Nothobranchius furzeri: one gene and its partner. The protein of the gene in region 1 purifies or fractionates together with the protein of each later gene. This does not show direct contact. Links are inferred from orthologs where the notes say so. Each region holds a gene or a part of one and is shown in the gene's direction. Other genes may lie near its edges.

Region 1 (10,188 bases):
CACATTTTAATAACAAGAACGTGCTTATTTTCGAACAGGGGGAAACAAAAGTTTAGATTTTGTGTGAAAATGAGTCCAGGACTACAAATGGGCTTCACGAAAGTGACGTCATCGAACCAGACACGGAGAAAACTGAGGGAAAATGGCTGTAAGTTCAGCAAGCTTCCCACAGGAGGAAAGAACCTCCATAAATCTGGTCATGTGGTAAGTAGCAGCTACTTTGGGGAGCGGAGATTATGTGGTGACGTCACATATGCGACGTGCCGATTTCTAGTTTGTAGTCATGCCAATTACGAACTTTTACAAGCTGATGAATGTCAAAGTACATGACTGGCGTGGTCGAAACACCCATCATTACTTTTCATTTAAATACAAGTATTACATATGTGTGATCCAGGGAGTAAGGCAAAGTGGGTTAGAAAATAACACTTTTAACCCCGTTGACTTGCATTCATTTTCTTCGTTCTTCTAGCGACCCGTGAGCTGACCGGATAGGGAGGAGACTTAGGCTTCCCATAGAGAAAGACAACAATCTTTGCACAACCATAAAATCGATATAGTGGTATAGGTACAGTATCATGTCTGTTTCAAATTACATCCTGATATGAAAATATCACCCAGCCCTAGTTGTAATAACGACCCGTGCTGCAGCAGCTGAAAATGTCCTGGAAAAGTCCTGGAAAATCATGCCAAAAAAAGAGTGGGAACCCTGTTCAAGCACTTGCTGATTGTGTGTTTGCTCTATCTCTAGCTGGTGTCCTGCACTCAGAGCCTGAGGCACTCAGCCTGGCCCGGGCCATCGCTGGGACAGAGGGCGTGGAGCTAACGGGGATATACGCTCACTGTGGAAACACCTACAGCTGCACAGGAGTGGAGCAAATACAGGCCGTTGCCCAAGACACAACCAGCTGTGTCCTGCAATTCATGGAGAAGTGAGGGTTTAAATTAAGATGGAAACGCACAAAAGATAGATTAAAAAAATGGTAAATTAATTCAAACAACAAATGCATTCATATTTCAGTATGTGTGTTGTTTGTGTCTTTTCTTAATTCTGTCAGACTGAAGGCGGTCGGCATCACCTGTAAGTCCAGCATTGGCTCCACTCCTTCTTGTAGCCATCCGGTCCAAGACATGTCAAAACTAAGTGAGGTGCATCCTGGAAACTACATCTTCTATGGTGTGTTCATCTCAATGTGACTGTTTCATTTTAACTATTTCAAATGAACAAACTGAAAAAACAAAATTTGTTTTATGTTTTGTTGAAATGTAGATGTGCAGCAGTCCATGATTGGCTCGTGTAGTCTGGAGGATGTGGCTGTGAGGGTTCTGACAAGAGTCATTGGACACTGTCCACAGAAGGACCAGCTCCTGATCGACTGTGGGTGGAGTGCTATTAGGTAGGATTTACAGAAGGACACATGGCTGGACTGGTTTTAGATGAACTCGACCGACTTCTTTGTTTTCTTTTTCCTTCAGTTTGGATGGAGCTGGAAAACTTCCCACTGGATATGCCATCATTGAAGGGCATCCAGACCTGAAGTAAAACGCTTTTTCTATTTCTTTTTTTTTACTTGAAAACAGAATTTAAAGGAGCAATTTGTAAGAATTCTACAGTGAAATAATCACAGACTAATGTCTCAGTCATGTTGGAAGGGAGGTTAAATGAAAACAGATTTCATTCTCAGCTGGTTGGGTGTTGTCAGTTTGTCTATTTTCAAAAAACAAAGGAGGGACATCGTTTCGGACATCAGCTACAGTCTGTGGCGAGCTAACGGTGCAGCGCCGCCAGCATTTCTAATTCGACACTGGCAAGCTCCAGAGTTGTTTAAAGAACCAGTGCCAGTAAACAGGAGTGACCCAGAAGTTATTTCTTGTAACCCTAAGAAGCCACAACATCTTTTTGTTTTACTTGAGTGAATCAGGCTAGAGGCTAACGCTGAGCTAACAGTTATAATGGTGAATTAGGAGCAAGTACTCGGCTCTAAAAATATCTTAAGCTACTTTCTCAATTAGCAACATCTCAGTATTAAAGTGAAATGTGTGTGTGACATGAATAATGAGTCAATCGCAGCATTTTACTTCCTTTAATGAGTCGTTCAGAACTATTAGAGCAAGCTAACAGCAAGACGGCAAACAAACACACTTCCTGTAATGCCTGATGCATTACCGTAATAAGTGTAGTAAATGCTCTCTACCGTAAAATATCCAAGTGTGCGAACACCAGATGTTAGGGCTGGGCAATAAATTGAAAATTTATCGTTATCGACATTTCTGACTCTTATCGGGATAAATTGTTCCCGTGTCAATAAATGTGATAATAAAAAATGAAAAGATGTGTGTAGATGGGCAACATTCATGTCCCTTTAAGAAGCTGTACCACCTTGAGTCACGTAAAAATGTGATTCAACGTAATACACGCGACAGCCCCATCTAGTGGACAATTTTCATTTCTGCTAATACCTGTAGTTATCGTCCACTTATCGTTATCGAGGTGAAATCCTCAATATATCGTGATATTGATTTTAGACCATATCGCCCAGCCCTACCAGATATAATTATGTATTTATCTACTTATCAACTTTGCTTATCATCTAGAATCTTCTGGTGCTGATCTGTAACTGGCAAGAGCCATAAAACTCACAGAACAACAGTGAGACAGTAACTTTTTGTTTAGCAAAGTGAGCTGCAGTCACCATATTTGACCACAAGATGTCATTTTTACTTCATTCTTACATGTTGTTTATGTTGCACTTGGTTATGTATCCCTCCAGGTTGTCATCAATGACTCAGGAACATGGAAGACTGGAGCCCATCTCGGGTCATCTGGACTACAGCAAATACCCTCTTGGTACTTTGCTCTCGTTGATCCCCCACCACGTTAGTATTGTTTAATGTGACCTTTAGCAACCTGTCTGTAGGATTAAAAGAGGCTCGGTTAGAAGATTATATTCTGTTATCCAAGAAGCCGTCAGTGACGGGAGTTCCTCTGAAGGTTCTCATACTGGACATTCCTTCATGTGGTGTCGGATTCATTGTGTTGCTATTGTGTTTTAAAGTTTATTTTTATTTTATTTCAGTCCTGTGCGACAGCCATGATGCATCCCGTGTATCATGTACACTCCAAGGGTCGTCTGCTGGGGACGTGGAACCCCACCCGTGGGTGGTGAAGCCCAAGTTTTGACCTGGATGTTGTTAGATGAAGATACTTGTCCACCTAAAACAGCATATTTGTGGTTGATTAGACTGGTGTCTGGAAAAAAAAACATATCAGAGCCTGTTTTTATGAGACTTTAACCATTTTCTAAATCGATGTGTTGTAAAATTGGCCATCTTTGTTTTTACGTAATGTTATCTCTGTAAATCAAAGCAAATTTAAAAAATTTGTTTTTGTCCATTGTGTAGATAAATACATTTCAGTGAGACGAGTTGTTTACTGATTGTTTAATTAATATCATGATCATTCTTTCTGTCGCCATTTAAATGGTAGAATTCTAGCCTTAAACACATACAAAGGTTATATTTTAATGGAACATTTCTCACGTTTGATTTTGTCCCCTTGACCCTCTTGTATTATCTCAAAGGTGATGGGGGTTTTTTGCTGCCGATACCGATATCAAAGAATGCTGATCACCGATACCGATCATGTGGATTGGCCAGAAATTTTATACAACATTACAATGAGTGCTACAAACCACATAATCTGGGAATAAAGGAAATGTAACCTAATCTAAAATGGTCTGATCGGTCTGCTTTGATCTATTTTGAAAACTCCGATCAAAACCGATAGGGGCGCTATCGGCCGATTGGGATCAAATGCCAATCCATCGGTGCATCCCTAGTTCAAACCAGTGACTTAGAAATAATGGAAAATAAAGGCTTGACACCAACTATCAGAATTTGATCAGCAGTCTCCTCTCCTATTTAGGGACAATCGAAGAGACATAAAAATGTTGAGCTGCTGTGTCGCCCTGACCCTAAACCCTACTGTTATTTAATGCTGATGTTGTTTCAGTGATAACGTAGTTTTTTATTAAAGCTCAGTCATTTCAGTTTTTATTTTAAATCAATATAATAGGAATTATCAACCAGAACAAACCCAAACTTATGAGCGAGTGTATTTCCCTGCCTCGCCCCATGAGATCTCCGAGGAAGACATAAAAATGAATAACATCCAGAAGATTAAAGGAGGAATTTAGATCCACATAAAGGAGATTTTATACATGGTGGATTGTATTCATACAGAATTGAAGATGTTCTTGTCAAAAAAGTGCAGATATTGTCTTGTGTAAAACTGTATCAACTAAATTTTTGTAGTGAAAGGTGAAAAAATAAACTGTTTCAATGAGCAAAAGTGAATCCAAAGTGTTAAATAGTTTTCTAAATCTGGATTCTCACGAACAAATTTGTCAGTATAAATATAGACGCAACACTTTTGTTTTTGCTCCCATTTTTCATGAGCTGAACTGAAACCTCTGAAACTTTTTCTACATGCGGTGGGATGGATCATCTTGGTAGAGGGAAAGTGCTCACTAACACACACACACACGTAGACAGATTTCAGAATAATATTTGAGGCCGCTAGAACGAAAAGACTTAACTAATAGCAAGACATCTAAATCCCCTTTCTTTAGTGAATCTTTAACCGGATTGTGGAGTTGAATGAATACTAAATAAACAATAATCACAGCATCAAACGTGACACACACTGATTCTCAAGACTACTTGAAATTGAAACTGAATGAAAAAAATAAACATGGCAATAAAATGCCCTTTACAGATTACCAAGAAATGTGATTCTTATTGAAAATGACCACAAACTGAATGTAACTTGAAATATGGACATTAACTAATGTCAGATCAGATATCAACCTGAATCATTAAAGTATTTTAATCAGTATCCAGTCAATCCTTGTATTTAGGATTTGGTTTAATCCTAATTTATTATTTTTATAATTCATATATTATTTTTAAACATATTTGTAATCATTTTTTAAATCTTTTTATACTTGAATTTTTTGGTTTTGTGAAGCGCCTCGTGATTTTTAACTTGAGAGAAAAGATCGTTCTCTTTCTTTCTTTTCTTTACAACGTTAAACTTTATTTTCACAGTTCTATTTTCATTATTTTCACTACTTCTTCTTTTCTGTGCTTAAGCGTGTCATATTGTGTCCATTACATTTGATCTTACCTGTACAAAGTTTTTTCTACTGCTGTGAATTAGAGTAAGAATACCTGACTTGAATATTATTTGTCTGTGGACTTGTGACAGGCGGACTTGTTGAAAGGATTCTTGGGAAACGTAGTTTTACTGCTACTAGCGTTTTGATTGGCCACTTTATGACCTTTCCACTCAGTCACGTGATTTAAAATGTTCAGAATGGCGCGGAAACTTGTCACATCGCTTCTCAATTAAACTTTCCGACTTTAAAGTTTTGTTTATGTTTTAAATTTTATATTGTTTTGCGGACTTTTTCCGCCCGTTTGAGTAAGTCTCGACCTTTTGCGCTCACTTTCCTCAGCTTTAGCGCGAGAGTTCAAACCGACTCTAGTAGCAGGGCTAATTGTGTGTTTTGCTGCGTGGCTTCAGGCTTGTATCGTGTGTTTTGTGTTTATTGGTAGAAATGAGCGTGTTGGAGGTGAAGTTCGTTGGGGATGGGGATGTTTTGGAGCACATCGTGGACAAACAGGAGGGTATGAGCTGGTTTATCTCTGCTGTTTTGTTTTTTGCCCATTCGCTCTCGTTTTATGTGTGCGTGTGTGTGTGTGCGCGCGCGCGCGCGCGTGTGTGTGTGTGTGTGTGTTGTGACTAGTATTGCAGAGCAGTGCTGGCTCTGGGCTGAGGATGGTGAAGTTTAAGAGCCCGGCTGGACAGAGGGAATGCCTGGAGGAGACTCGGTGTGATGGAGATGAAAACGGAGTCCATGATGAGCTGGGTTATGTCCGAGCTTTAGGAACTGAAAACGATGAAGGTATCCCTTCCTTGGTTCTGGTTTTGTCCTGCTGCATTTTCACCCTCATCCTCCACTCTTCCATCCATAAATCTGCTCTTTGGCTTTCCTCCACGACTCCTGCCTGGCTGTTCCAGCCTGAGCATCCTTCTGCAGATTCCTCCATGTCCAAACCATCTTAGCCTGATCTTATTTCAAATCATCTAACGCAGTCCCTCTAATCCTGATCCTGTCACTCCTGAAGACAATCTCAACATTTTCACCTGCCCTGCCTCCTGTCTTCTCGGTGCCACTGTAGATCATCGAGTTTAGTATTTTGACATTACCTAATAAAGCCATAACATGAACCTAAATGTCTCTTAATGCCACTAATATGTTCTTTGGCTTCACAGAAGTAGACGATAATCCTTCTAGAGTTGCTGGTTCCTCCATCTTCACCTTCCAGAAAGTCAAACGAAGTCACAGCTTGGCCCAAACTGGTGAATCTCCGATTACCTCTCGAACGAAGGCTCAACGTTCATCTTCAGCTGCATTTATTAAACCGTTGTTTTGTTGTTTCCCTTCGTAGCGAGCGAACTGGCTCGGACCCCGGGAAAAAGCGTGAGCTTCACCAGGGACACAAACTCGGAACCCACCACTCCCTCTCGGACAGGCAGCAGTGAGTCGAGCGAACCCACTCCCCGTCCGCCTGTGCTCTCATTATGAAATGATCAGGTTTACTTTTGTCTGTCTAGGCCACGCAGGTGAAAACAGGACACCACAGAGGGTGAGAGAGCTAATACATTTCACTTTATCCAGTGAAGGATTTAGTTTGTTTTAATTTAGTTTTGTTTCTCCTGAAACAGAAAAAGAGTGTCCGGTTTGTCTCCACCACCCCTCACAGACTCAGGAAGAGACTTACAGGTACGCCTGGCCTGTTGTAGTTGTGTTCGTTTAGTAACGCTGGTGTAATCTGGGTGTGGTGGGGCTTATTTTCAGCACCAACTCTTCGGTCTGACAGCGACAGTGAACTCTCCCCCTCTGACTCTGAGGAGGACGAGCTCAAAGAAGAGCAGAGAGGGAAGCAAGAGGACAAGGAGAATGTGAAAAAGACGAGAACCCCTAGTAAAGGGCTTTCTGCAGCTCTCTACAAGACTCCTGCCAAGAGGAGCAAGAACACAGCCGAGCCTCTGAATCAGCCCACCATGACCGAGGAGTATTTTGAGGCTCATGGCAGCTCAAAGGTCCTGACGTCGGACCGGACCCTCCAGCGTTTGCACACCCCTAAGTTTGACCGGGTGTGTGAATTAAAAGTTACATGTTAGTCCATTATAATAAACCTTTGGCTAAACTCCACCTCTTTTACTTTTTGGACAGGAGACGTTGGATCGTCTTTTAGAAGATAAACCGTCTTGCTACTCAAAAGAGATCCAGCAGCTGCACGACAAACACAGGAAGCACTTTAACAAATGGATGTTACAGCTGCAGTGAGTGTGGCGGCGTGCCCTTTCCTACGGTTTGACTCTGTTCTACTAAAACGTCTCCCTAGGGGTTGTATGAACTAGTCGACTTCACGGCTCTGTAGTGACTTTTTATGCCTGTCATCGACTAGTCGCTGTCACGTGATAATGACTGACAAGATGCAGTCCTCCAGCAGGTGATGAGCCCCTGCGTCGGGAGGCGGAGGCGACGCGCTGTGCCAGAGCGTCGGTACTGACACCGGCGGTAAAACGGACATTTAACCAAACTGTGACCTTTACCCTCTTGCAATTTAACCTTCCCCTCACCCCCATCCTAATCTTAACCAGTTTGCGCATGCAAAGCTCTGATCGTTGACGCGCTCCAGACATCTGCGTCCAGAGCACCGCCAAATCAGGTGTCACCACCTCAAAAACTAACTAAACACGCGATCGTTCATGTCGGCTCATTTCCTTTCATGTTTTCTGTCTGTTATTTGTGCCTGATGCGTTTCGCTGCTGCGGAGCGAGGCTCTTCACCTGTTTTGTCCTCCGGTGACGCACCCCCAAGATTCCACTATCTCCGCTCCGGCACGAACTCCGCAGCAAAAACGGTCCCGTTGTAGTCGGCCGGCGAGCAGCGGCACTCCGCTGTTTTTGCGGTCGGTAGATCTTTTAGAACTGCAGTTCAAAGGTAACTCATAAGGTGAATATATATGAACCCAGGTAGCAGTTTTTCTTTAGGACTGAGAGGAGATGCAGGAAGATAATAAACAGGCAGGACAGAAAAATAGGCAAATAAAAACAAGTTAGTTTTTGTACCTGGTGGTTGCAACAAACAGACACCATTGAAGGTAATCAGAAGTGAGGAACAGAAAATGAACTAATTATTTTAATGTTTAGAGCAGCAGGAACTCTGAGAGGCTGCAGGCGCATCAGTGAGTTTGTGGCCGCTGCGCAGGGGGAGGGGGGAGAGGGCTGATGCAGAAACTACCGTTGTTAAAAGAGATGTTTAACTTAGAAAATTCTTTCTTTCAATTTGGGTGCAATTTTAATTGTCAAAAACTCCAGCGAACCTACCGACCCCCCCCCCCCCCCCCCCCCCCCCCCGCCGCCGCTTCAGGTGAATGACGTCATCAACGACTAGTCGAAGTCGACTCGATTTTCATTACTTGACTGTCGACTTTAAAAAAAATTAAGTCATGCAACCCCTACTTCTCCCAAGAGGTGCTTGTTGTTGGTTTGCAGGTTGGGATTCAGTGTTCTGGTTTATGGTTTGGGCAGCAAAAAGGCTTTGCTCGAAGACTTCAGGGTGGCTCATCTGTCTCAAGAGATCCACCTGGTGGTCAACGGGTTCTTCCCCTCCATTACTCTTAAAGCGGTTCGTAGACCAGTGAAAATGTGCGTTTTTATTGCGACTGTCTACAGAAAACAGAACAAACCACAGCTGTCATGTGATCGCGCTGCAGATATTAAACTCCCTGACATGTGAGGTTCTGGAGCACGAAGGAAGTTTCCGCACGCCGTCGGACCAGATCCAGTTCATCGCTCAGACCCTCAAAGGCAGTAAGTCGCTGAGTGAGCGAGACTAGTTGTCTCAGCCTTCACGTTTGTTGGATTTGTGAGTTTTACTTTTCTGACGTCTCTGCAGACCCAGGTCTCCGTGTGTTTTTACTGATCCATAACATTGACGGGCAAATGCTGCGAGGAGAGAAGACCCAGAGCGCACTGGGGCAGCTGGCGTCCTTACCAAACCTGCACTTGGTGGCTTCCATAGACCACATCAATGCTCCACTGGGTGGGTGGTCACGGGAATTAGTACCGCTGTCGGGATCACGGAGAAGCTGGCGCCCATCTCCATCAGCTCGTCACAGGGATTGGTCTGTTCTTGCACCTAAGTGTTCCTAATGTGTTTCCAGTGTGGGACCAGTTCAAGCAGAGCCAGTTTAACTGGTTGTGGTGGGAGTGTGTGACGTTCCAGCACTATGCAGAGGAGACGTCGTATGAAAACTCACTCTTGGTGCAGCAGACGGGTGCTCTCGCTCTGTCCTCCCTCACACACGTGCTCCGCAGCTTGACTCCCAACGCGAGGTACTGCAGCCATGTTGGTCCTAGGGATGCAACGATACCACTTTTTTCCAAACCGATACAATACCGATACTTGGATCTGAATATTTGCCGATACGATTACCGATACCTATACTTCTACCACACAAAAAAAAAGTTATGATTTGGAATACAGATTTTATTTTCTTCTCTGCTTTCAACGGGAAAAGACTGTGAGGTAGATAAAAAGTAAAATACATGAATAGAAATCATCACAAAACTAAATTATCAGGTGAACAGAAATGACAAGTTACAGTGAAGCCATTTTCAAGCAACTGCATTTGTATCGGTTTACTTTTACCGATACCGATACCAGTATCGTATCGGTATCTGCACCGATACCAGTATCGGTATCGGTGCATCCCTAGTTGGTCTCTTTATGCTCCCCTTCCCCCTCACTCAGGATTTCAGTCTCAAAAAGAAAAGCTAATAAATGCATCTTAATCCTGAAATAATCTTTGAAAAATCTACATTAACATGTCACATCTGTGATGTGGTGAACATCCTTCCAACGTTCCAGTTTGTTTTTCTCAAGGTTGGTTTATGCTTGACGCGTCCGCGAGGTCCGCACGACTCCGCGCGGAAAAGTTGCGTCATTTTGCGTCATTTTAACAACCACGCCCCTCCACCGTGCCTCCGCACGGCCCAGAATTTCCGCAACGTGCACCTCGGAAAATTTCTAACCACGCGGACGGACG
Region 2 (10,188 bases), on another chromosome or scaffold:
CTGTCTCCTGGTCAGGTGCGTGTTGTCTTGAGAGAGCATCTGGCTTGGTGTTCTTGGGGCCTGGGCGGTATGAAATCTGAAGGTTGAAGTGAGAGAAAAAAAGGGACCACCTGTATTGTTGCGGGTTGAGTCTCTTTGCCTCTCTCAGGTAGACCAGATTTTTATGATCGGTCCAGATGATGAAGGGGATCTCAGCCCCCTGAAGCCAGTGTCTCCATTCCTCGATGACGAGTTTCACTGCCAAGAGCTCTCTGTCGCCTACGTTGTATCTGCTCTCTGTTGGGGTTAAACGGCAAGAAAAAAGGCAAAAGGGGGAAGGCGATGGTCAGAAGGAGATACCTGAGACAGTACTGCACCAAGTCCGGTGTCTGAGGCATCCACCTCGAGTGTAAACTGGAGTTGGGGGTCTGGTCGGTGGAGCACCGGAGCATGTGTGAACTTCCTTTTCAGCATCAGAAAAGCTGCTTGGGCTTCTGGGGACCAAACAAAAGGCTGGTTAATGGAGGCGAGGTTAGTTAAAGGAGCGGCTGTCTGAGTGAAGTTTCTGATGAATCTCCTGTAGAAGTCGGCGAAACCCAGGAATCTCTGGAGTTGTTTACGGGAGGATGGGGTAGGCAATTCCGTGACTGCCTAGACCTTCTCAGGGTCTGCCTTCAGCCTCCCACTCTCGATGACAAATCCTAAAAACTTAACCGTGGTGACATGAAACATACATTTGTCAGCCTTCACATAAAGCCAGTTTTCCAGGAGGCGCTGTAACACCGACCGAACATGCTGAACATGTTGTTCTAGAGTACTTGAAAAAATTAAGATATCATCCAAATAGACAGTCACATACTTATTCAAATAATCTCCTAAGACAGAGTTCACAAGTGACTGAAACACAGCAGGAGCATTAGTCAGGCCAAAAGGCATTACCAGATACTCAAAATGTCCTAAAGGAATTTTAAACCCCGTCTTCCACTCATCTCCCTGACGGATCCGTACTAAGTGGAAGGCATTCCTGAGATCCAAGTGGCTGACAATAGTGGCGTCCTGAATGGGCTCAAAAGTGGAAGTTAACAGAGGCAGAGGATACTTGTTTTTTACAGTTATTTTGTTTAACCCCCTGTAGTCTGTGTAAGGCCTGAGCATTCCCTCCTTTTTTGGAACAAAGAAAAACCCTGCTCCCAGAGGTGAGGTGGAGGGCCTGATAAGACCGGCTGCCAGAGACTCCTGGATGTAACTCTCCATACTCTCCCTCTCAGGCTTGGAAAGGTGATATAGGCAACTGGAGGCAAGTGGAGCTCCAGGCAGCAACTCAATGCTGCAGTCAAAAGGTCTGTGTGGGGGAAGAGAAGAAGCACGGTCTTTGTTGAATACCTGTCTGAGGTCATGGTAGACCAGAGGTACTTTGGAGAGATCAATCTCTTCTGCAGAAGGGATTGTGGGGCTGTGGAAGGTTGGTGAGGCTGAGCGAAGGCAAACTTGAGAACACTCTGGACTCCATCCTTCTATCCGGTTGGTTTTCCAGTTCAGCTGGGGGTTGTAGCGTTTCAACCAAGAGTGGCCCAGGACGAACGGGGACTGGGGAGAGGGAAATACAAAAAATGCCAGACGTTCTGTGTGGTTACCTGACACTCTTAACTGTAGGGGAATGGTCTGGTGAGTGATGGTGGATAAAGCCCTGTCATCCAGTGATGACACAGGGAGAGGAGACGACAAACGAGTGGTAGGGGTATTCCACCTCTCTACCTAGCCAGGATCCAACATAGACTGCTCACAACCAGAGTCCACCAATGCCTCTAGCTGAAACTGTTCAGAATTAAAAACACAGTACACTGGATAGAACAACGGGAGCTGGAGTTTCTGCCCACCAGTAGTCCCGGTTTTACTGGTGGGCTCTGCCTTTTGCCAGTGCTGGGCAGACTCTGGCGAAGTGTCCGGGCCCCCCGCAATACAAACATAGACCTGACCTTATTCGATGTTCCCGCTCTTCTGGGGAAAGACGAGTCCAACCCATCTGCATGGGTTCATCAGTTGTGGTAGTCTCAGAAGAGGAGCGATATCCAGTCCCCTGGTTACGGTCAGGAGTGGGAGCTGGACGAGCACTGGTGACCGGGCGCTGTAGCTCCTGGTGACGTTTGTCAATGGAGATGGCAAGGCGAATGAGTCCCTCCAGAGACTGAGGTTCCTGGCACAACGCCAACTGGTCCTGGACTCGATCACTGAGAGCCTCTGTGAACGCAGCAATTAGTGCTTCTTCGTTCCATGAAGTCCTTGCTGCCAAAGTCCTGAACTCCACAGACATGTCCGCCACTGATCGTCGACCCTGTGACAATGTCCAGAGTCGCTTCCTAATATCCAAAACAAATTCGGTCTGTCCAAAAGTCTGTGTGAAGTCCGTTAAAAACTCATCATGAGGTCCTAATAGAAAAGTGGCACAATGGCTCTTAGCTTCAGCCCACCGTAGGGCTCGTCCATGACGTAGTCCAACAATATATGACATTTTAATTGAGTCTGTGGAAAAAGCTCCTGGTGAGCGTTCAAATGCGAGACGACACTGAAGGAGGAAGCTATGGCAGTCCTTGAACTCACCGCCGAATGTCTGGGATGGAGGAGAAGCGGCTGGATGGAAGTGGGTGATCTCTGTGGGAACTGGAACTTCCGGTCCGGAGGCAACTGGAGCGGCCGCCTGAGGTTCCGTTCTAGGAGTCTGCGGCTGAGACACTCGGTTGTGGATCTGCCGCACCAGGGCCTCCAGCTGCTGGCAACGACTTTGGGCTGCGTTAAGCTGCTTCATTTGCAGCGGCATCGTCTGCTCCTGTTGGGACACCCTATGGAGATGATCGGTGAGAGTTGTGTCTGCAGGGTTAGCGGGTTGGCGGGATGATTCTGACATGGTCTGGGGAAGGCGTTTAACCCAGGACATGCAATCACAATAAACTCACTGATTTAATGAAAAAAAAAAAGAATGTTTATTTTAGAACGAGAACATAAGGTGCACTGGGAATTCCAGTGGAGGTCGGGAAACGGAGCGCAGCATAGGGAATTTGGGAGGTGTAGGTATTGGGAAGGGCAGGTCCAGAGTCGGGGTGTGTCCGGGTGAGGAGGTCCAGGAGAGGGAGCGTGGAGAGAGCAGGTGAGCGGATTGGATGGAGGAATGGAGAACAGCAGAGAGCTGCATCCTGAAGGGTTACGTGGCAAAGGTGAGTATCCTGATGAGTCACTGAATCCTGAGAAGTCTCTACTCCAGAGATGTTCCAAAAATCCTGAAGAAGGCGTGAGCACAAAAAAATCCACATAGATCAATAAGCCAAAAACACAAGAGGCACAAAATCACTGCAACACTAGAAAGCTGGAAACTACCGAGCTGTAGTAATCATCCCGCGTCGAGGTGTGTTCTCCAACTCCTTAAGTAGCCGGTCCCCCCGATTGCTAACCTGGCGCAGCTGGAAGCCTCCCTCTCCTGAAACACAACTCAAAGGTGGAATGTGTGAGACGAGTACTCACCCCGACTCATGACAACCTAGTTATGATTTCGTTACCAAGCAGACCAGAGAAGCCTTCACTTTGGAGTTACTATTTCATGAAGGTCTAAGCTTCTATGAGAGAATATTTTCAACGGAATGTTCTGGATGTGATACCTGGAAGCAATGAAGATTTCTACTCATTCCATGTGTGATCTTAAGCCAGACACACGTCTGTTGTTTGTTTGTAGTGAACTTAGTCTGAATGTGGCATTTCAGCTGACATGTGTATCATTAAATGTGAAATATGTTCTCATTTTAATGACTCTTCTTACATTATTCTCATTACATTTTACAGAATGATGCTTTTGAACATCTTCATAAAACAACGTGTTAAATATCCCCAGTGATGTGGGGCATTAAATATGAAACTTAAAAGGAAACCCACAAACATAAAGCATTAAATAACAATCATAATTTTAAATGTAAACCACAAAAATACAGTTTCTAACGCCACAACATGCCTCTCTATCGGAGCCCTAATGAACACCTGTCGTCCCGGCATCCTTTGCGTGTCCAATATGGAAGAACTGGCGGTGGAGGTCCGTGGCTCCAACGGCGCTTATTATAAGGTAAATACCGGCATATCATCACAGCTGTAAAAGTAGCACTTCGTTACCCAATACAGACTGTTAGCTGAAGTTTCGAGGACCGTAACTACGTGTTCCGAGTGTCTTTGAGTCCTCGAACTGTTTGTTGTTAAAGTGCAGCTAGCCAAAATTAGCAGGCTAAGCTAACGTCGGTCGCTTGTTTTTGCCAAGTGTTTTGTTTTATCGACTTTTGCCCAACACAAATGAGAGGAATCACTGTCCTTTCCGTTATACCTCAGATATTAAACACGTGAAAGCTGTTTTTTTGCATTCCCGTGACTGTAACGGTCATTAGCTAAAAGTTAGCTAACTCGCAAACTGTTGACGTCTAATAGTTGAATAAAGCTATCCGTTAAACATGTATTCCTTGTCGGGGTTGACGTTTTATTCGTTTTAGAATAACAACACATAATTGGTTTGGAGGGTATTTTTTATTTATTTTTATTTTTTACTAACGGCGTTCAGAAAGCACCACGCCTGCAACGCTCTTCACAGACTACCATATCTTCCTGTCACCGTCTATTATTTGATACTTGATCATGTTCAGGCCATCTTCGCTATGTGTGCCAGCTGTTCCCTGTCAGTCCAGAGCAGTTGGCATGTCAGCAGAGCCTCGGTGATATTGTACACTTGTAAGCTATTTCTAGACCTCGGCCCTAAAGTGATACTTTTGTATTTTCTCTTTCACTTCTCTCGGTTTCGTTTCATCCCCATGCCCCCGGTGATGCAGCTCATTATAATACCGAGATCACTGTTCCTTTTTGCTCATATGTTTACCTCAGCCATTCCCAGTTACACTGCATCTTTTAAACTCGTGAGTTACGTGAAGGTGTGACGTTCTTTTCTCTGTAAAGTCCCTGCCACACAGTTTCAGACAAGATTGTCACATGACTTTTATAAAAGACCCGCAGGCTGTTCCTCAAAAGAGATTAAATATACTTTCGAATATAAATGTCAGAATTCTTGGGTTTCATCCCCACGACTGCTGATTTAAGATGAAAGTCCAGTCAGCATTGTTGTGATCTGATGATTTACTGCAAACAATCTCCCAAATCACATCTGTTCTGCTCCACATGGTATAGATTTGATACTATATAGATTACTTGAGGGGCCATTCAGATGCAGTAAAGATCAAGTCACCCCTAAATGAACTTTTTTTTTTCTGATAAACTATATAAATGCTTGTCTAATCGTGCTGCGGACACGTGTAGTCAATAGTTTAGCACTTTAGTGCATTTTAGTTAAAATGTAAATGTTCTGCCTAAAACTGTCCATTGTGCCATTGTCAGGTTAACACTGCACTGCAGTTGAATTTAAATCTGCCATCGCTATTGGCTAAGAGGTACCCTAGAATGTTAGCTGGTACGATATGATGTCCTAATGTCGTTTTGAGCCTGTGTGTGTGTGTGTGTATTTGTTAGCAGCTCCGCCCTCTCGGTCTGCTTGGCAAGAGCATTTGCTGCATTTTTCAAACATGAAGTGGGAGTGGAGTAATACTCTGGTAGGGGGTGACTTGCTCTTTAAAGAGCAAGTCACCCCCAAATAAACTTTTTTTTGCTGATAAACTAAATAAACGAGTGTCTAATCGTGCTGCAGACACGTGTCATCAATAATTTGGCACTTCAGTGCATCTTAGTTAAAATTTAAATATTCTGCCTCAAACTGGCAGTGTTGTGCCATTGTCAGGTAAAAACTCTGCACTGTATTTTAATTTAAATCTGCCACCGCTATTGGCTAAGAAGTATGCTATGATGTAAACTGGTACATTATGATGTCACAATGCTGTCGTGAGCCTGAGTGTGTGTGTATTTGTTAGCGGCTCCGCCCTCTCGGTCTGCCAGGCAACAGCATGTGTTGCATTTTTCAAACATGAAGCGGGAGTGGAGTTAGACTCTGGTAGGGGTTGACTTGCTCTTTAAATACAAAACAAAAGCTCATTTTGAAATTCAATCTAATGAAGATGAATTTAAATTAGAAAATGTTTATTAAACTTGGCACAAGAACCAGTCTGCCCTTTAATCCCACTTGATTTAGAACCGTTCTTCATTTACTCTCAAATATATTTATTGAGCTTGAAATAAATACACAGTGTGAAGAAATTGTAATACCAGTAATGATGACACATTGATAAAGTGGTCTCTAGAAATTTAAAAGAATGACAAGTGCAGAATGTTGTGCTCTAGGATGATTCAATTCAATTCAAAAATACTTTATTAATCCCAGAGGGAAATTGATTGCTGTAGTAGCTCAGAATAATAATAATAATCAAGTCATCAAAGAGTTATTGTATATTACAATGGCTGTTGGCAGGAAGGATCTCCAGTAGCGGTCAGTGTTGCAGCGAAACTGAAGAAGCCTCTGACTGAAGACGCTCTTCCGTTGTCGGACAGTCTTGTGAAGAGAATGCTCAGGGTTGTCCATAATCTTCTTGATTATCTGGAGAATCCTTCTTTGCATTATCTCCTCCAGCGGTTCTGAAACTGTCGAAACTCTGGCTGAGTCCTTGAAAGGGCTTGGAGTTCCTCCATCTTGTTGGCCAGTGATCTCATGTTGCCCATTATGATTGATGGAAGAGATGGTTTGAATTTCCTCTTTCTCTGTCTCCGTTTTGCTCCCGCTCTGCACCCATACTTCTTGCGTTTTAGCTCATTTGGGATTTGTGGCTTCAGTTGAGGTATTATTTCAGCCTTTCCAATGTTAATCAGCTGCTACCGATTGTAAACCAGACTGTTGCCATGGTTACGCATCATAACAACTGCTCAAAAAGTGAAAAAAGCTAAAAAATAGCAGTAAAAATCCCCCAAGCTTCACAGCACCAGAAACAGAAAAGCAAAGTGTCCAAAAATACAGTTTTTCTTGAGAAACTAGAAGAAAAAATGTCCAAGAAAAGGCAAAACTTGCATATAATCAACAGAGCTACTCCAACATACGGCCACCCAGAGTAGTGCAGTTCCGGAAAGTTCCGGATGTCGACGCCAAAACAACCAAAACAAAGAGGAGACTCACCTCTTACATCAGGAAGAATCCGCGTGTTTCCAGCGTTATCCGTTCTTTCATAATCGGTTGTCGAATTGTGATCGGCAGAAGCTTTTCCGGTTCGTGCCTCACTTTTTTACAGCAGCGGCCCAAAACGATCTCCTCACACATGGATTTTCTGCTTCCTGATCACGTGACGTGTGACGTACGCGGATAAAGATCGGCCTTGGAGCTGGGATGTTTGTTCTCACGGTGCGGGGGGTATCGCGGTATTTTTTTTAAACGTGCTACATTTTCACACAATTAAATAAACCCTGTATGTCAGGAAATATTGTCCTCAGTTTGTGTCTAAATTTTGCCTAAAATGTGTTATTTTGTAATTATGTTGTTTATTTGTTTACATTTTTTCCCTTTAGTCTTTAAAATACCAATATTTGCCCATAACTTCTTATCTTTTGTCTAATTGATGTCATCATTTTAAAAATATTAGATCAGATGATACTCAGTACTCAAGTAGCTTTCTAATCAGATACTTTTTTACCCTTATTTGAGTAATAAACCATATATCAGGAAAATATTGTCCTCAGTTTGTGTTCTTCCAGTGAGCTTTGCAGATTTGGGAAAATGTCATAAATTCATAATTATTCTCAGAGAGAGACCAACTCTTATCTGCCCCTGGGAGCCCCGTAATGCATAGCGTCATTTCAACATGGGGGTGTCTGCGACACGGTTTATATGCAGGTAGCGGCGCTGCGGCTGCTTTATATAGCGACTCGTTGCATTCTCCCTCAACCCAAATCCTCGGATCACGCATTTTAGCTAAAACGCTAACGTTAGCTTGCCTTGCGTTGACTGTAGAGTTGTGGGTGATGGTCACGCAGATGTGTCATGAGATTTGAGGCGTTGCTGCCTTTCACAGACACTTTTTCTGCACGTGCTGCAAACAGGATAGCCGTGGCATCTTCTATAAACTGTCCCTCGGCATTCTTCAAATATCCAAAAGATGCCCGTACTTCCCACTTTGTCTTCCTTGAGGGATAAAAAATGTCCTGAGTGCTGCCGTCTCCTCCTCTGGTCATTATTTCAGCTTTAGCTTCAAGAAAGTTTTGGTTGTAAACAACAAAGCGAGCATGTGCCGCCGGCAACTTCAGCAGATGATACGGTGGCTGGTAAGGGTCACCGCGCTACACCGCAGCCACGGTAACCCACCGAGATAATATATGTTTTTTTTTAAACAAGACGGTTATTATTATTGTCAACTTTTTTTTACCGGGGTTTACCGCTATTCCGGTTACCGTGACAACCCTACGTACCATATGTCTGTTTTTGTGAAAAGCATAATAAAATGTGTTTTAGTCGGGTAAGCACCTTCCTCAGTAGAAATAAATGCACAGGGGGTGGATGGAGACCCATCCAAGATGAGGACCTGCTGTTACAGCAGCTCCACTAGGCAGTGCCAGTCTACGTCGTGTCTACAGATACGATGTCTGTAACTAGAGCACTAAAACAAGTGTGATCTCCAGCCAAACTTGCCCCCCCCCATCTATACATAGCCCAATCTATGTATTTATATCTATGGCTCTACTGTAAATGTTTAATAAAACAGAGACGGAATAAAGGGTGGGGGTTTGGGGGTCACTGGGTTTTCAGTTAGAAAACTTCAAAGGAACTTTAAAGGAAGAAGTGGCACACTCGTCACTCACCCGCTTGTCTATGTCCTGCAGGGCTTTGTCAAAGATGTCCACGGTGACTCTCTCACCATTGCCTTTGAGAACAAGTAAGCCACCGTTTCTTGTACCCTTCTTGTGTTTTTGTAAAACATCAAGTTAAGATTTGTGAGAGAGTCAAGTTGTGACATTAGAGGTTTGTATTTTAGTTGGCAGCCAGAACGCCAGGTGCCCTTCAGTGATGTCAGATTGCCACCGCCTGCTGATGCCAAGAAGGAGATCGGAGAGGGCGAGGAGGTGGAGGTGGGGTAGACACTTGCTACGTTAAACCTTTTATTCTTTTATCTTGTCTGAGTCTTACTCTTTAATTTATTTCACCTCATGGCAGATATTCTCCAGAGCCAATGAACAGGAGCCTTGTGGTTGGTGGCTAGCTAAAGTTCGCATGATGAAGGGAGATGTGAGTATTCTTCTTCATGTACAAAGTTAAGCTGTTGCAGTGCTACAAATGTAAAAGAACAAACAAAACCTTGTTGGATTTAAAATCAGATTTATCTTGTTTTATCATTCTGTCTAAAATCATTCAACCTACTTTTATTTTTCAGTTCTATGTGATTGAGTATGCAGCTTGTGACGCCACTTACAACGAAATTGTTACCTTTGATCGTCTGCGACCAGTCAACCCTAACAAGGCCATTACCAAGAACTCCTTTCACAAGTGCACTGTCCCTGTTCCTCAGGATCTGCAAGAAGCGTGCGTACAGCATCATTAACGTTTCAGCATTAGATGTACAAAGTTAGAAGTTATAGAACTAGCTTCTAGTATTTGTGTTAAATATTAGCTACAGTCTGACATACAGTGCTCAGCATAAATGAGTACACCCCCTTTAAAAAGTATGAATTTAATCAGTAGCTCAAAAGAAAAAGTTCCAGTGTTTTCCCAAGGCTGGGTTTTATTGAACTCTTGTTTAACTCCACAACATGAAATTAAGGTTAATAAAATAACTTAGATCACAAAATCTTCAAAGCAAAAATGAAAACACCCCACAACAAAAACTACTACATTGTATTTTGTCTGACCACTGTGATTTTCAAGGACAGCACCAAGTCTTCTAGGCATGGAATGAACAAGATGGCGACATGTTGCAACATCTATCTTTTTCCATTCTTCAAGAAGAAGCTCTTTTAGAGCCGGATGCTGGATGGAGAGTGATGCTCAACTTGCTGCATCAGAATTCCCCACAGCTGTTGGATTGGGTTCAGATCAGGAGACGTACATAATCACCCCCTGTTCTTCTTCAGAAACGCAACAGTAGCTTCAGATGTGTGTTTTGTGTCATTGTCGTGTTGGAAAAGTGCACGACGACCCAAGTGCACGGAGTGATGGCAGCATCTTCTCCTTCAGTGTAGAGCAGAACATTGTTGAGTTCATGATACCTTCAATGA

The links. Proteins that work in one complex are often made in the same cells at the same time.
Region 2: the proteins of orc2 (region 1) and fxr1 purify together in Homo sapiens (affinity purification with mass spectrometry; 4 studies listed by BioGRID and IntAct, with this or other methods). This does not show direct contact. The link is inferred for Nothobranchius furzeri from reciprocal best matches to the Homo sapiens genes ORC2 and FXR1.

The regions. Positions count from the first base shown.
Region 1 is NC_091751.1:63,943,890-63,954,077, forward strand, and holds the start of orc2 (origin recognition complex subunit 2), read left to right. Parts: upstream 1-5,348; 5' UTR 5,349-5,485; exon of another isoform or gene 5,486-5,619; 5' UTR 5,620-5,621; coding exon 5,622-5,691; intron 5,692-5,810; coding exon 5,811-5,969; intron 5,970-6,340; coding exon 6,341-6,427; intron 6,428-6,516; coding exon 6,517-6,606; intron 6,607-6,682; coding exon 6,683-6,714; intron 6,715-6,793; coding exon 6,794-6,851; intron 6,852-6,926; coding exon 6,927-7,225; intron 7,226-7,304; coding exon 7,305-7,414; intron 7,415-8,632; coding exon 8,633-8,765; intron 8,766-8,853; coding exon 8,854-8,950; intron 8,951-9,035; coding exon 9,036-9,182; intron 9,183-9,303; coding exon 9,304-9,475; intron 9,476-10,188. Other genes in the region: zgc:162816 (D-serine dehydratase), read left to right, coding at 752-932, 1,059-1,177, 1,271-1,397, 1,477-1,539, 2,772-2,877, 3,078-3,167. UniProt on the Homo sapiens protein: Component of the origin recognition complex (ORC) that binds origins of replication. DNA-binding is ATP-dependent. The specific DNA sequences that define origins of replication have not been identified yet.
Region 2 is NC_091748.1:72,994,356-73,004,543, reverse strand, and holds the start of fxr1 (RNA-binding protein FXR1), read left to right. Parts: upstream 1-3,965; 5' UTR 3,966-3,991; coding exon 3,992-4,081; intron 4,082-8,799; coding exon 8,800-8,852; intron 8,853-8,951; coding exon 8,952-9,045; intron 9,046-9,130; coding exon 9,131-9,202; intron 9,203-9,347; coding exon 9,348-9,496; intron 9,497-10,188. UniProt on the Homo sapiens protein: mRNA-binding protein that acts as a regulator of mRNAs translation and/or stability, and which is required for various processes, such as neurogenesis, muscle development and spermatogenesis.